Linked DNA regions of Stegostoma tigrinum. The protein of the gene in region 1 binds, or shares a complex with, the protein of each later gene. Links are inferred from orthologs where the notes say so. Each region holds a gene or a part of one and is shown on either strand. Other genes may lie near its edges. The genes, in order: samhd1 and DDB1- and CUL4-associated factor 1-like.

What was found.
Region 2: the proteins of samhd1 (region 1) and DDB1- and CUL4-associated factor 1-like are in contact, whole or in part, in a crystal structure (PDB 4CC9), measured with the Homo sapiens proteins. The link is inferred for Stegostoma tigrinum from reciprocal best matches to the Homo sapiens genes SAMHD1 and DCAF1. Residues at the interface, in NP_056289.2 of Homo sapiens: Ser616, Arg617, Val618, Gln619, Lys622; in NP_001336097.1 of Homo sapiens: Asn1090, Glu1091, Asp1092, Thr1114, Gln1116, Asn1132.

Annotation. Positions count from the first base shown.
Region 1 is NC_081372.1:11,095,814-11,102,965, forward strand, and holds the start of samhd1 (deoxynucleoside triphosphate triphosphohydrolase SAMHD1), read right to left. Parts: upstream 3,251-7,152; 5' UTR 3,157-3,250; coding exon 2,976-3,156; intron 1-2,975.
Region 2 is NC_081364.1:62,918,445-62,926,551, reverse strand, and holds the start of DDB1- and CUL4-associated factor 1-like, read right to left. Parts: upstream 3,041-8,107; 5' UTR 2,963-3,040; intron 1-2,962. UniProt on the Homo sapiens protein: Acts both as a substrate recognition component of E3 ubiquitin-protein ligase complexes and as an atypical serine/threonine-protein kinase, playing key roles in various processes such as cell cycle, telomerase regulation and histone modification.

The DNA.
Region 1 (7,152 bases):
CCAGCTCTTCCCCTCCATCCACTGCATCCCAAAACCAGTCCAACTTGTCTCTGCCTCCCTAACCTGTTTTTCCTCTCACCCATCCCTTCCTCCCACCCCAAGCCGCACCCCCATCTACCTACTAACCTCATCCCACCTCCTTGACCTGTCCATCTTCCCTGGACTGACCTATCCCCTCCCTGCCTACACTCTCTCCACCTATCTTCTTTACTCTCCATCTTCGGTCCGCCTCCCCCTCTCTCCCTATTTATTCCAGAACCCTCTCCCCATCCCCCTCTCTGATGAAGGGTCTAGGCCCGAAACGTCAGCTTTTGTGCTCCTGAGATGCTGCTTGGCCTGCTGCGTTCATCCAGCCTCACATTTTATTATCTTGGATTCTCCAGCATCTGCAGTTCCCATTATCAATGGCTTTTATTATTCTGGCAGGCCAACAAAGTTTATTCCACTACCAATCTTTCCAAGCTTATGACGAATCCACAAAACCCTTCCCCTTGACTTACTCTTAGGCTCTTTTGCACCAAGGTTACTTTAGCCCCTTCTTCCAATGTGAAAAAGATTTTAAAAACCCACTTATCATGTCTCCCTCTGTCCTACTTTGTATTATAATCTTATCCTCAACTGTTTTCAAATAAGTTCACATTCCCTTTCCATTAGTTCATTGATTTAAAAAAAACTGGACAGAGCACTTTTCCCCATTTTCCCACCCACTTTGTTGCTTACTTTCTCTTTCTATTGTGTTTAATAGCTCTTCCAATCTCCTTTGCCTTGCATTCATGTCAGTATTTTCTAGTAACTTGAGACTAGCTCTTTATTTTCTTACTATAGTTTCTGTTGTCGAAAAAATTGAGCCATTAGCCTCTAGTGTGCAATTTTACTGAACCTAATGCCTGTGGAAATACTTCCCATTGTTTGATCATTTATTTACATATTAATAGAATTTGTGTAAGCCTCTATCAGTGCGGCACTATCTTTTACCTTGTCTGGTGTCTTAAGTACACAATTGTGTTTTTATAGCAGAAGTTTGCAAACAGTGGGTCATGTTACCCACAGGGATCGTAGATGCAGTTTTAGCTGGCAGCGGCAATATGATCAGCAAGGCTATGGAATTCTCAAAACTTATACTTATATTACATATTTGATCAATAATACCCAAATTTCAATAAGTATTTATATACACAGCATTATTAAGCTGCTTTATTACCTTTTGTCAATTTTCAAGTCTCAAAACAGGCTCATATTGGAAAGTAGCGTGGGGAACAATTTTAAAGCTACAGTGAACGGAGGGCATGACAAATATTTTATTTTGCTTTTATGTTTACCAATTAATAGCTCAGCCCATTGCAATGTGTGCAATTAGTGTCCATTTCTACTTAAGGTTAAGAAAAATCACGTCCCTCCCTCCTTTCTCTATTTTACTCTAAAATCAAAGATGTAATATGATCAATATTGCAACAGCCTACTTCCTTATTGGTGTTTTGAACAATGCAAGGTGACATTTTTGAAACAGACAAGGTTCTTCTCGCATTTGAAAAGGTCGACTCAGAAGGTGTTTCGCCTTGTGACAGAGTCTAGGAGCAGACAGCATAATCTCATATTAAAAAGGGGTCACCCATCCAAGACAGAGGAGGAATTTCTTCTCTCAGAGGGAGTGAACTTGTGGAATTCCTTACCACAGAGAACTGTCAAGGATGGATTGCTGAGCAATGTTCCCTCCAAGGCATTCAATTACACAGATACCAGGAAGTTCCACAACACAGGCTTCTGCCTGATCAGACCTCAGAAATCCACGTAGTGGGGGAAAGAATTAGAGGGAACACTGCTGTTAAGTGCGTACAAAGACTGATATTGACAGATTTAAATCTGGAAAGGAATCAAGGGTGAGAGGAAAAAAAGACAGGAAAGTGGAATTGAGGATTATCAAATCAGCAACAATCCTACTGAATGACAGCGTAGACTCAATGGGCCAAACAGCCTATTCTGCTCATCTCAGTTTTATGGTCTCGCCATCTAAATGCATGACTGCAGGTGCAACTCAAGAGCTGAAAGTCCTCACTTTTATTCCCCTCTGTGCTTTGTCAGAGATCTTAAGAACACCTGAGTGGAATTTCCACCTAACTCCCACTAGAGAAACAGTAGTTCAGTAATGAGAACTCCCAAAGAGATGTATACCACATGCATCAGAGAATGGTGATGCCCAAATAAGAATACACAAGCACAGCCAAAATGCTTCTAATATTCCACATCTAAACAGAATGCTGATGTGGACTGGTGAAAGACTTCAAATGATCCCGACAATCTTCCAGCATTAAGTCATACAGTGGTACAGCACAGAAACAGTCCTAACTGGTGTGACCCAGCCATGCTTAGCAGATATTCTACACTAATCTAGTTCCATTTGTCAGCAACTGACCCATATCCATCTAAGCCCTTGATGTTCATATACCCATCCAGGTGCCTTTTAAATGTAACTTCCCCATCTCACCTTAAAACAGTGCCCTTTAGTTTTGGGGTCCCCTACTCTGGGGGAAAGAGACCTTAGCTATTCACCCTATCCATGCACCGCATGACTTTATAAACTCCTGCAAGGTCACCCTTCAGCATCGGACGCTCCAGGGAAAATAGTCCCAGTGTATTCAGCCTCTCTCCATAGCTCAAACCCTCCAAACCCTCGCAACATTCTCGTAAATCTGACTCGGCAGGGATCCTTTCAAAACAAGATCTACAACATTATTAATAGACAACATTCGGACGTATTTAGTTCAACGAAATGAAATAGCAAAGGGATGAGGTAATTCTAAGAGGAAGTATATCCTGTCTTCCTGCCTGCAAATTGCTCTTGCAAGAGAGGGGTGGGTCAAACTACGGAGAGGGTTAAGAAGGAGGGAGAGGGGCTTCGGAGAGCTCAATCAAAAAACCGGCACACTGCGTCGAAGGAACTCCTTCGGCTATGCACCGTCCAAAGATTGCACACTCACCCCTGAACAACTGCTCGAACTTTTCAAATCCATGTGTCTGCAGAAAACAGCAGACATCGTCCACGTCCCAGTGTCGGTAATCGGGTTTTAACCTGAATAGGGCCACTCTTTTGGCCGGGGTCACCGGGTGGATGTCTGTCTCAGCGGCTCTCGGCCTCTTTCGGTTCTCATTTTGATTCATTTTCCCCGGTCTCCACAATGCTGCTAGGTTGCTGTGTACTGGGCGCTCTCTCTCTGAGCTGCTGCCGGGCTCACTGAGACTGTCCCTCACCGCTGAATGAATGCCAAACCCGGAAGAAGCTCGCCCCTGACCGCTCATTGGGGCTTCAGCATAGCCATTCCCACTGACAATCAAACCCACTTCCCACCCCCAGTTAAAGCGGCGGTGCTCCCTGTTACCAACATATCGCCGAGCATCAGATCATGCAGACTCAATGGTTAGAAGCCGAGAAAATTCTAACAGGACTGGGCAGGTGATTTGCACTTATTGCCTTCTGCAGTACTCCTCGTTACGTTATTAAGATTAGGCACACCTCAAATTGGCCTCTCTTCCTCCATGTTCTTATAAGTTTTCAAGCTTTTTCTGAATTCTCCATTGAAAAACTGTTCCCGAGTCTCTTTCAACCAGAGCTTCCCAGAGATTAGAAAAGAATGACTTCCATTTCTGAAGCATCTTTCACATCCTTTGGGCATCCTAGAATACAGTAAAGCCAGTCAATTACTTTTGAAGTAATTTTTTCCTTTATTCATTCTCAGGATGTGGGCATCACTGGCTTGGCAGCATTTATTGCTCATCCCTAATTGCCCAGAGGGCAGTTAACAGTTAGCCACATTGCTGTGGGTCTGAAGTCACATGTAGACCAGACCAGGTAAGGTCGGCAGATATAACGGGAACTGCAAATGCTGGAGAATCCAAGATAATTAAGTGTGTAGCTGGATGAACACAGCAGGCGAAGCAGCATCTCAGGAGCACAACCTGAGATGCTGCTTGGCCTGCTGTGTTCATCCACCTAAATACTTTGTTATCTAAGGTCGGCAGATATCCTTCCCTAAAGGGCATTAGTGAACCAGAAGGGTTTTTCCAACAATCAACAATGGATTCATGGTCATCATTGAACTCTTAACTCCAGATTATTTTGAAACTGAATTCAGATTCCATCATCTGCCAAAGCAGTATCAAACCCAGGTTTCCAGAACATCCCCTGGGTTTCTGGAATAATAGTCCATCAATAATACGCTAAGCCATTGTCTCCCTTAAAATCTGTTCACTTTTATACTTTAGGGAGTATGTCAGGTGAACTAGTGCATCAACCTCTCGCATACAGCAATGTATTATTGCCCAGGGGGATAAACAGCAGGCAGGAGGAGACTTGGAGTAATTCTCCTGCTGTTCTTAGAAGTAGTGCCAAGCGATCTTTTTCCACCTGAGCGGGCAAACTGCAGCTCAGTTTAATAGGAAACAAAAACAGGCATTGCTGGAAAAAGCTGTTATGGGGAAGAAGCAGACTTAACATTTTGGGTCAGTGATTTTCCAGCAATTTCTGTATTTGTTTCAGATTTCCAGCATCTGTATTCTTTCCATTTTTTTCTCAGTTTAATGTCTCAACTTAACTCAACAGAGCAATGTTCTCTCAGTACACCACTGATTTGTCAGCCAAAGTGTGCAAACAGAATTCGCCGTCACTCCCTCGTCCGCTCCACACTCCCCACTAGCCCCATCACCCCGGCACTTTTCCCTGCAGCTGCAGGAACTGCTACACCTGCCCCTACACCTCCCCCCTAACCTCAGTCCCAGGCCCCAAGAAAAGCTTCCACATTAAACAGATGTTCACCTGCACATCTGCTAATGTGGTATATTGTATCCGCTGTTCCTGATGTGGCCTACTCTTACATCGGGAAAAACAAGTGGAGGCTTGGGGACTGCTTTGTGGAACACCTACACTGTGTTCCTGACAAATGACAACACCTCCCAGTCGTGAACCACTTCAACTCCCCCTCCCACTCCTTGGACGACATGTCCATCCTGGGCCTCCTCCAGTGCCATAACAATGCCACCCACAGACTAGAGGGAACAGCACCTCATATTCCCCTCAGGAACCCTGCAACCCAATGGTCTCCATGTGGACTTCATAAGCTTCAAAATATCCCCTCCCCCTACTGCACATCCTTTATGTTCATTGCTGCAATCTGTAATTTGGGAAGAAATGGTTTAAGAATGTAATACTTCTGCTAAAGTCTTCAGTCACCTATTTTTAATTTTGGTTTTACATTATAATAGTTCTGAAGAAGAGTCACACCAACTCAAAACTTGTCATATGAGGAATGGTTGAGGACTCAGGGTCTGTACTTAATGAAATTTAGAAAGATGAAGGGTGATGAACTCACTGAAACTTACAAAATACTAAGATGCCTGGATAGAATGGCTGTGGAGAAGGTGTTTCCACCAATAGGTGAGACTAGGACCCCAAGGCACAGCCTCAGAGTGATGGGACAACTTTTAGAACTGAGATGAGGAGGAATTTCTTCAGCCAGAAAGTGGTTGTCTATGTAACTCACTGCTACAGAAGCCTGTGGAGACCATGTCTTTGAATGTGTTGATTCTTAATTTGTAAGGAGATAAAAGGTTACAGGGAGAAGACAGGAGAATGGATTTAAGAAACATATCAACCATGATCAACATGGGTTCAATGGGTTGAATGGCCTAATTCTACTCCTGTGTCTCATGATCTTTTCTCTCCATTGATAATTCCAGACCTGCTGAGTTTTTTAAGCATCTTCTCAGTTTGTTTCAGATTTCCAGCATCTGCAGCATTTTGCTTCTTTTTAATATTTATCTTTATTTAATATTTAATTTTTAATTTTTTAAAAAATTAATTTAATCTTTGGTTCAATTTGATGTTTGTCCAATTTTGCCGCTGTAGAATCATCTTGGAATTCTTCTGACTTGAAGGGTGCTACATGAATGCTATTGGAAAGAACTGAAAGTTAATGTCAAAATACTCGAACGTAATCTAGCAATGTTAGAATACAGAACTTTCTGACAACCAACAGTCTTTCAAAACTTTTCAACTTGCGGTAATCGGGATGAAGAGACATGCATGATCCTGCCCTGATGAATGCAAGATGAATAGTTTGACAGCTTGGCTCATTTCACTGTAATATTCCAGTTCTGTATTACCATGGACAATAAACTTTCCTAAAATAACTTTCAGGAATGCACCACATTGGCACAGTAATGGTTAAAAACAGACAAATGTCACAATCCATAGTTGGTTCCATTTGAAGGTGCAACTTGATTTAACCAGATCAGTCAGGCTGGAGGCCTGTGTTTTTAAACGACCAATGTCCCTAGATGTTTTGCAGGAAATGATTCAAAGTTTCACCCCATGCCAGATCAAGAGATGACAGACGACCAACAGGGAGTTAGATTTGACAAGTGCCTTAAATGAGGAGATAGAGCAATAGAATGTGGCCGGTTTAATGTCTTATTCGAACAATGGCATCTCCCAGGTATGTAGCACGCCCTCAGTACTGCACTGGAATGTGAGCCTAGATTTTTACACATGGGTCTCTGAAGTTCCAATTGAACCATAATCTTCTGGTTAAAGTGCCACGAGTGCTATCACCCAAGGCCTGATTAACATGGCAGGCATTGCACTTATTAATGCTTCTGAGTTCAGATAACAGATGACACTAATGTAACCAAGTCCAAATTTCAGGTCTGAAAGAGAGGCATAATTGAAACCAGAAGTGAAATATTAACTCTTTCTCTTCATAGATGCAGCCAGACCTACACAGTTTGACTAGCATTCCCTGTGTTTATTTCAGATTTCCAGCATCTGCGGTATTTTGCTTTTATTCATTCTTTAATGAGTTGAAAGCATGGTTTTCCTGTTGGTGCTCTAGTTACTTCACTCAGTCCAGGTTAGGTGGATTGGCTGTGCTAAACTGCCCCATAGTGTTCAGGGTAGGGAGATTCGCTATAGTAAAGGTCGGGTGATGGGGATGTGGATGGTGATAGGGTGGGGGAGTGGGTCTGGGACAGATGCTGTTTGGAGGGTCAGTGCAGAGCCAATGGGCTGAAAGGTGTTTATCTGCAGTGTAGGAATTCAATGGAGTTAGTGATGGGAGGACTACAGCAATAGGGGTATATGTAGGGGGGCAAGAATATGTGGCC
Region 2 (8,107 bases), on another chromosome or scaffold:
CATAAGATGCAACCCATCAGCTCAAAGCATCTCAACAATATTCCTTTAAAAAAACGGTTGGGAGGAAATAAACTCAATATTTATTGCAAGACAAGATGACAAACAAATTGCACTGAAGACAATTGGGCCTTCTTTGCTTGCCATTTTTATTTGAAATATTATTTTGTTCTACAGGGTAGACTGAAGTACTTATTTAATCGAGGATGAGACTGAAACAGCAGTCTTTTCCATCCTGACCTCAGTAGGCCTCTTCTCTCCTCCCTCACTCTCCACACTTGCTTTCTCTTCCCCCCAACCACCTCTGGTCTCATCACCCGAGACTCTTCACCCACCTCTTTGGAGGAATGAGTCTGCGAAGAGGCAGACTCAGCACCCCATTCCTCAAGTGCTTCTGCAGGCCCACTTCCCCACACAGTCCCTCGTCACCAACTCTGCCACCCCGACACAGTCCCTCGTCCCCATCTCTGCACACCCCACGCAGACCCTCGTCCCCGTCTCTGCCCCCCCCACGCAGACCCTCGTCCCCGTCGCTGAAATCCACCCCCCACGCAGACCCTCGTCCCCGTCGCTGCAACCTCCCCCCACGCAGTTCCTCGTCCCTGCACACCCCCCCCACCCAGTCCCTCGCCCCCGTCGTTGCACCCCCCACCCAGTCCCTCGTCCCTGTCGTTGCACACACCCCACCCCCCCCAAGTCCCACGTCCCCGTCGTTGCACCCCACCCCAAGTCCCAGTCGTTGCACCCCCCCGCCAAGTCCCACGTCCCCGTCGTTGCACCCCCCTGCCAAGTCCCACGTCCCCGTCGTTGCACCCCACCCCAAGTCCCACGTCCCCGTCGTTGCACCCCACCCCCGAAAGTCCCACGTCCCCGTCGTTGCACCCCCCCGAAAGTCCCACGTCCCCGTCGTTGCACCCCCCCGAAAGTCCCACGTCCCCGTCGTTGCACCCCCCCGAAAGTCCCACGTCCCCGTCGTTGCACCCCCCCGAAAGTCCCACGTCCCCGTCGTTGCACCCCCCCGAAAGTCCCACGTCCCCGTCGTTGCACCCCCCCGAAAGTCCCACGTCCCCGTCGTTGCACCCCCCCGAAAGTCCCACGTCCCCGTCGTTGCACCCCCCCGAAAGTCCCACGTCCCCGTCGTTGCACCCCCCCCGAAAGTCCCACGTCCCCGTCGTTGCACCCCCTCCACGTCCCCGTCGTTGCACCCCCCCACGTCCCACGTCCCCGTCGTTGCACCCCCTCCACGTCCCCGTCGTTGCACCCCCCCACGTCCCACGTCCCCGTCGTTGCACCCCCCCCACGTCCCCGTCGTTGCACCCCCCCCACGTCCCCATCGTTGCACCCCCCCCACGTCCCCGTCGTTGCACCCCCCCGTCATTGCACCCCCCCCACGTCCCCATCGTTGCACCCCCCCCACGTCCCACGTCCCCATCGTTGCACCCCCCCGTTCCACGTCCCCATCGTTGCACCCCCCCCCCACGTCCCACGTCCCCCGTCCCCATCGTTGCTCCCCCCCCACGTCCCACGTCCCCCGTCCCCATCGTTGCTCCCCCCCGTCCCACGTCCCCATCGTTGCAACCCCCCCCGCCCCACGTCCCCATCGTTGCAACCCCCCCCGCCCCACGTCCCCATCGTTGCAACCCCCCCCGCCCCACCGTTGCAACCCCCCCGCCCCACGTCCCCATCGTTGCAACCCCCCCCGCCCCACGTCCCCATCGTTGCAACCCCCCCCGCCCCACGTCCCCATCGTTGCAACCCCCCCCCGCCCAAGTCCCACGTCCCCATCGTTGCAACCCCCCCCGCCCCACGTCCCCATCGTTGCAACCCCCCCCGCCCAAGTCCCACGTCCCCATCGTTGCAACCCCCCCCGCCCAAGTCCCACGTCCCCATCGTTGCAACCCCCCCCGCCCAAGTCCCACGTCCCCATCGTTGCAACCCCCCCGCCCAAGTCCCACGTCCCCATCGTTGCAACCCCCCCCGCCCAAGTCCCACGTCCCCATCGTTGCAACCCCCCCCGCCCAAGTCCCACGTCCCCATCGTTGCAACCCCCCCCGCCCAAGTCCCACGTCCCCATCGTTGCAACCCCCCCCGCCCAAGTCCCCATCGTTGCAACCCCCCCCGCCCAAGTCCCCATCGTTGCAACCCCCCCCCGCCCAAGTCCCACGTCCCCATCGTTGCAACCCCCCCCGCCCCACGTCCCCATCGTTGCAACCCCCCCCGCCCCACGTCCCCATCGTTGCAACCCCCCCCGCCCCACGTCCCCATCGTTGCAACCCCCCCCGCCCAAGTCCCACGTCCCCATCGTTGCAACCCCCCCCGCCCAAGTCCCACGTCCCCATCGTTGCAACCCCCCCCGCCCAAGTCCCACGTCCCCATCGTTGCAACCCCCCCCGCCCAAGTCCCACGTCCCCATCGTTGCAACCCCCCCCGCCCAAGTCCCACGTCCCCATCGTTGCAACCCCCCCCGCCCAAGTCCCACGTCCCCATCGTTGCAACCCCCCCCGCCCAAGTCCCACGTCCCCATCGTTGCACACCCCCCACCTCAAGCCCCACGTCCCCATCGTTGACCCCCCCCTAAGCCCCACGTCCCCATCGTTGCACACCTCCCCACCCCGGTCCCACGTCCCCCGTCATCCTCTTCAAGCCACACTGCTTCCCCAACCCCGTCCTCCTCCGGATCCTGTCCTCCTTCCAGTCTCTCCCCACTTTTTCCCTCCAACTCTCTGTTCTTGTTGTAGTTTCCTCTCCCTCGCGGACCGCTCCGGTTCCCCCCCCCTCCACCTCCTCACGTGTGGGCCCGGGGCCTCAACCACGGCCGGCTGCGGCTTCCCCTCTCCCCCCGCTTACGGTGAGGCCTCGCTCCGCCTCCCCGCGAGCCGAGAGGGTGTGGGGGCTACCGTTTGGCTGCCCTGCTGCACCGCCGGAGACTACGATAGTAGCGATCCCCGGGCGGGTTCCCACTGACCTGGCTGTCTAGCAGCGATGAGCTCGGTCTGTATCAGCGTCAGGCCCTAGGCTCCACGCTCCCAGTGATGGCGGCTGTGACGTCAGTTCGTTGCTGCGTGTGGCCGCTCGGCATTCTGGGGCTTGTAGTCCAGGCGTTTGGACATCACTGCGCCTGCGTAGCATCGTCGTTTCCCGACGTGGCGTGGAGCATCGTACGCGCAGTGGTATGGTCCTTACTTGTGGACCAGGAGACCGTATTTGCTGCAGATGTGTGTGCACCGGCTTTATTTTTAAAAAGTAGCAGAATTTACAACTTTGGCTGTAGTTCAGCCGAATTTTATTCTTTCTTCACTGTAGGTATGTAACCAACCTGTTTGGAAAACTTCAGAAGCAAGTGGCAGTTGAACCCAGTCCTTCAGAGGTGGTAAGTACGCTATCCCTGTGCCAATTCCTGTTTGCAATCTGAATTTGCCACATGGCGCTCGTTGTTGTCTTTCAATTGTGTTAGAAAGGGTTTAGGGTTAGGAGCCTTGCAGGCTTGGAGCTAGTCCCTTTCAATGCGAGGTCATGCCTTCCCCGCCCTTTCAAGGCGCCTTAAAAAGATTGTCTGGCTCCATTCCAAGTGAAACCAATATTTGTCGCCAGCCAACTGCAATCAAAATGCAGAAAAATGAAAATCATTAATTAAAAACAGACTGGTTGGTAATCATAATGTTTTTAGTCCTGTACTGCAAAGTATGTTGAGTTTAACTAAACATTAATTTTATCTAAGAAACACATTGAGGCTTTATCTGGCCTGGAGGCTGTGAGAAGATAATGTGACAATTCATTACTTTTTTATTGAGGCTGCTTGTATATCGCTAGTATATCATTCATGCTTCATTTTCCCATAATGGATATCACTTTTAGGTGTCTGGCAGTGAAGGGCAAGTGCTGTAAACTGGCTTATGTTTTCCATCTGTACCTGAAACAGCATAGTTTCCAGTCCTACAGAAGATGCATTTGTAGCAATTACAGTTGGTAGCAATGGGTTGGAGTGACCAGCATTAATCATCCCTAATTGCCTTAAGTTTGTTATTAATTTTATAGCAACTTGAACTAAGCTTTCTACTTTAGTACTGAGTGGGTGTTCAGATAAGTGGGGTATGGATGCTAGGGCAGTTGCTTGCTCCTCCTGCAGAATGTGGCAGCTGGGAGACATGGCACACGTCTCCACTGGCCACATCTGCGGGCAGTGCACCCGACTCCAGCTCCTTGAAAACTGTGTTAGGGAAATGGAGCTGGAGCTTTTTGAACTACGGATCATTCGGGAGGCAGAGGGGGTAATTGAGAGGAGTTACCGGGAGTTGGTCACTCCTAAGGCTCAGGACAAGGATAGATGGGTTACAGTTAGGGGGAAGAAAGGGGACAGACAGACAGTGCAGAGATCCCCTGTGGGCATTCCCCTCAGCAATAAGTATACCGCTTTGGATACTGCTGGGGGGGGATGACCTACCATAGTAGTCAGTTCTCTGGCACTGAGCCTGACACTGTGGCAAAGAAGGGAAGGGGGCAGAATAGAAAAGTACTCGTGGTAGGGGACTCGATAGTTAGGGGAATCGACAGGAGATTTTGTGGTCAGGATCTGGATTCCCAGAAGGTATGTTGCCTCCCTGGTGCCAGGGTCCGGCACGTCTCCGATCGGGTGTATAAGGTTCTAAAAGGGGAGGGCGAACAGCCAGAAATCGTGTTACATATTGGCACTAATGATATAGCCAGAAAAAGGATTGAGGATATAAAAAGTGATTTCAGGGAGTTAGGATGGAAGCTGCAAAGCAGGACGAACAGAGTAGTGTTCTTTAGTTTATTACCGGTGCCACGAGATAGCGAGGCGAGGAACAGGGAGCGGGCGCAGCTTAACACGTGGCTGCGCAGCTGGTGTAGGAGGGAGGGCTTCGGATATGTAGATAATTGGGATGCCTTCTGGGGAAGGTGGGACCTGTACAAGACGGATGGGTTGCATCTGAACTGGAAGGGGACCAATATCCTGGGTGGAAGGTTTGCTCGAGTAGTTCGAGAGGGTTTAAACGAGTATGGCAGGGGGGTGGGAACCTGAGCTGTCTCCCGGAGGTGAGAGTTGATGCAGGTGAGGCAATAGCAAGAGGTAGACCAGCTAGTGGGAAGGATTTTCCTGGGAAGGAACCAAGGGATCGGTTAAAGTGTGTTTGCTTTAACGCAAGGAGTATCAGGAATAAAAGTGATGAACTTAGAGCATGGATCAGTACCTGGTGCTATGATGTTGTGGCCATAACAGAGACATGGGTTTCTCAGGGGCAGGAATGGTTGCTGAATGTTCCAGGGTTTAGAGCATTTAAAAAGAATAGGGAGGGGGAAAAAGAGGAGGAGGTGTAACACTACTAACCAGAGAGGGTACCACAGCTACAGAAGCTTCCTTTGTCGAGGAAGATCTGCGTACCGAGTCAGTATGGGTGGAAATTAGGAACAGCAAGGGAGTAGTCACCTCGTTAGGGGTTTACTAAAGGCCTCCCAACAGCAGCAGGGAGATTGAAGAAAGCATAGGTCGGCAGATTTGGAAAAGTGTGGACGTAGTAGGGTTGTTGTAATGGGTGACTTTAACTTTCCCAATATTGATTGGAACCTCCTTCGAGCAGAAGATTTGAATGGAGCTGTTTTTGTAAGGTGTGTTCAGGAGGGTTTCCTAACTCAGTACGTTGACAGGCCGACGAGGGGAGAGGGCATTCTAGACTCGGTGTTCGGAAACGAGCTGAGGCAGGTATCAGATCTTGTGGTGGGAGAGCATTTTGGTGATAGTGACCATAACTGCCTCACATTCTACATAGCTATGGAGAAGGAGAGGATTAGGCAAAATGGGAGGATATTTAGTTGTGGAAGAGGAAACTATGATGCGATTAGACATGAGTTAGGAAGCATGGACTGGGAGCAATTGTTCCATGGTAAAGGCACTATAGACATGTGGAGACTGTTTAAGGAACAGTTGTTGCGAGTGATGAATAAATATGTCCTCTGAGACAGGCAAGAAGGGGTAAGAGGAAGGAACCTTGGATGACGAGAGCGGTGGAGCTTCTCATCAAAAGGAAGAAGGTAGCTTACATAAGGTGGAGGAAGCTCTAGAGGATTACAGGCAGACAAGGAAGGAGCTCAAAAATGGTCTGAGGAGAGCCAGGAGGGGGCACGAGAAAGGCTTGGCAGAACGGATTAGGGAGAACACAAAGGCATTTTACACTTACGTGAGGAATAAGAGAATGGTCAAAGAAAGAGTAGGGCCGATCAGGGATAGCATAGGGAACTTGTGTGTGGAGTCTGAGGAGGTAGGGGAAGCCCTAAATGAGTTTTTTGCTTCTGTCTTTACGAAAGAAACGAACTTTGTAGTGAATGAAACCTTTGAAGAGCAGGTGTGCATGCTGGAATGGATAGAGATAGAGGAAGCTGATGTGCTGAAAATTTTGTCAAACATTAAGATTGACAATTCGCCAGGCCTGGACCAGATTTGTCCTTGGCTGCTTTGGGAAATGAGAAATGCAATTGCTTTGCCACTTGCGAAGATCTTTGCATCCTCGCTCTCCACTGGAGTCGTATCTGAGGACTGGAGAGAGGCAAATGTAATTCCTCTCTTCAAGAAAGGAAATAGGGAAATCCCCGGCAATTACAGACCAGTAAGTCTCACGTCTGTCGTCTGCAAGGTGTTAGAAAGGATTCTGAGGGATAGGATTTATGACTATCTGGAAGAGCATGGCTTGATTAAATGCAGTCAACACGGCTTTGTGAGGGGCAGGTCATGCCTCACAAACCTTATCGAGTTTTTTGAGGATGTGACTAGAAAGGTTGATGAGGGTCGAGCTGTGGATGTGGTGTATATGGACTTCAGCAAGGCATTTGATAAGGTTCCCCATGGTAGGGTCATTCAGAAGGTCAGGAGGAATGGGATACAGGGGAACTTAGCTGTCTGGATACAGAATTGGCTGGCCAACAGAAGACAGCGAGTGGTAGTAGAAGGAAAATATTCTGCCTGGAAGTCAGTGGTGAGTGGTGTTCCACAGGGCTCTGTCCTTGGGCCTCTACTGTTCGTAATTTTTATTAACGACTTGGATGAGGGAATTGAAGGATGGGTCAGCAAATTTGCAGATGACACAAAGGTTGGAGGTGTCATTGACAGTATAGAGGGCTGTTGTAGGCTGCAGCGGGACATTGACAGGATGCAGAGATGGGCTGAGAGGTGGCAGATGGAGTTCAACCTGGATAAATGCGAGGTGATGCATTTTTGAAGGTCGAATTTGAAAGCTGAGTACAGGATTAAGGATAGGATTCTTGGCAGTTTGGAGGAACAGAGGGATCTTGGTGTGCAGATACATAGATCCCTTAAAATGGCCACCCAATTGGACAGGGTTGTTAAGAAAGCATATGGTGTTTTGGCTTTCATTAACAGGGGGATTGAGTTTAAGAGTCGTGAGATCTTGTTGCAGCTCTATAAAACTTTGGTTAGACCGCACTTGGAATACTGCGTCCAGTTCTGATCACCCTATTATAGGAAAGATGTGGATGCTTTGGAGAGGGTTCAGAGGAGGTTTACCAGGATGCTGCCTGGATTGGAGGGCTTATCTCATGAAGAGAGGTTGACTGAGCTCGGAATTTTTTCATTGGAGAAAAGGAGGAGGAGAGGGGACCTAATTGAGGTATACAAGATAATGAGAGGCATAGATAGAGTTAGTTCATAGCCAGAGACTATTTCCCAGGGCAGAAATGGCTAACACGAGGGGTCATAGTTTTAAGCTGGTTGGAGGAAAGCATAGAGGGGATTCAGAGGTGGGTTCTTTACACAGAGAGTTGTGAGAGCATGGAATGCGTTGCCAGCAGCAGTTGTGGAAGCAAGGTCATTGGGGTCAGTTAAGAGACTGCTGGACATGCATATGGTCACAGAAATTTGAGGGTGCATACATGAGGATCAATGGTCGGCACGACATCGTGGGCTGAAGGGCCTGTTCTGTGCTGTACTGTTCTATGTTCTATGTTCTATGTTCTAAATTGGGTGGAGGACCGTCTTCTTGACCAGTTGCAGTTTACATGATGTGGGTAGATCCACACTGCAACTAGAGACAGACTTGCAGAATTCTGATGCAGTGACAGTGAAGATATAGTGGAATGGTTC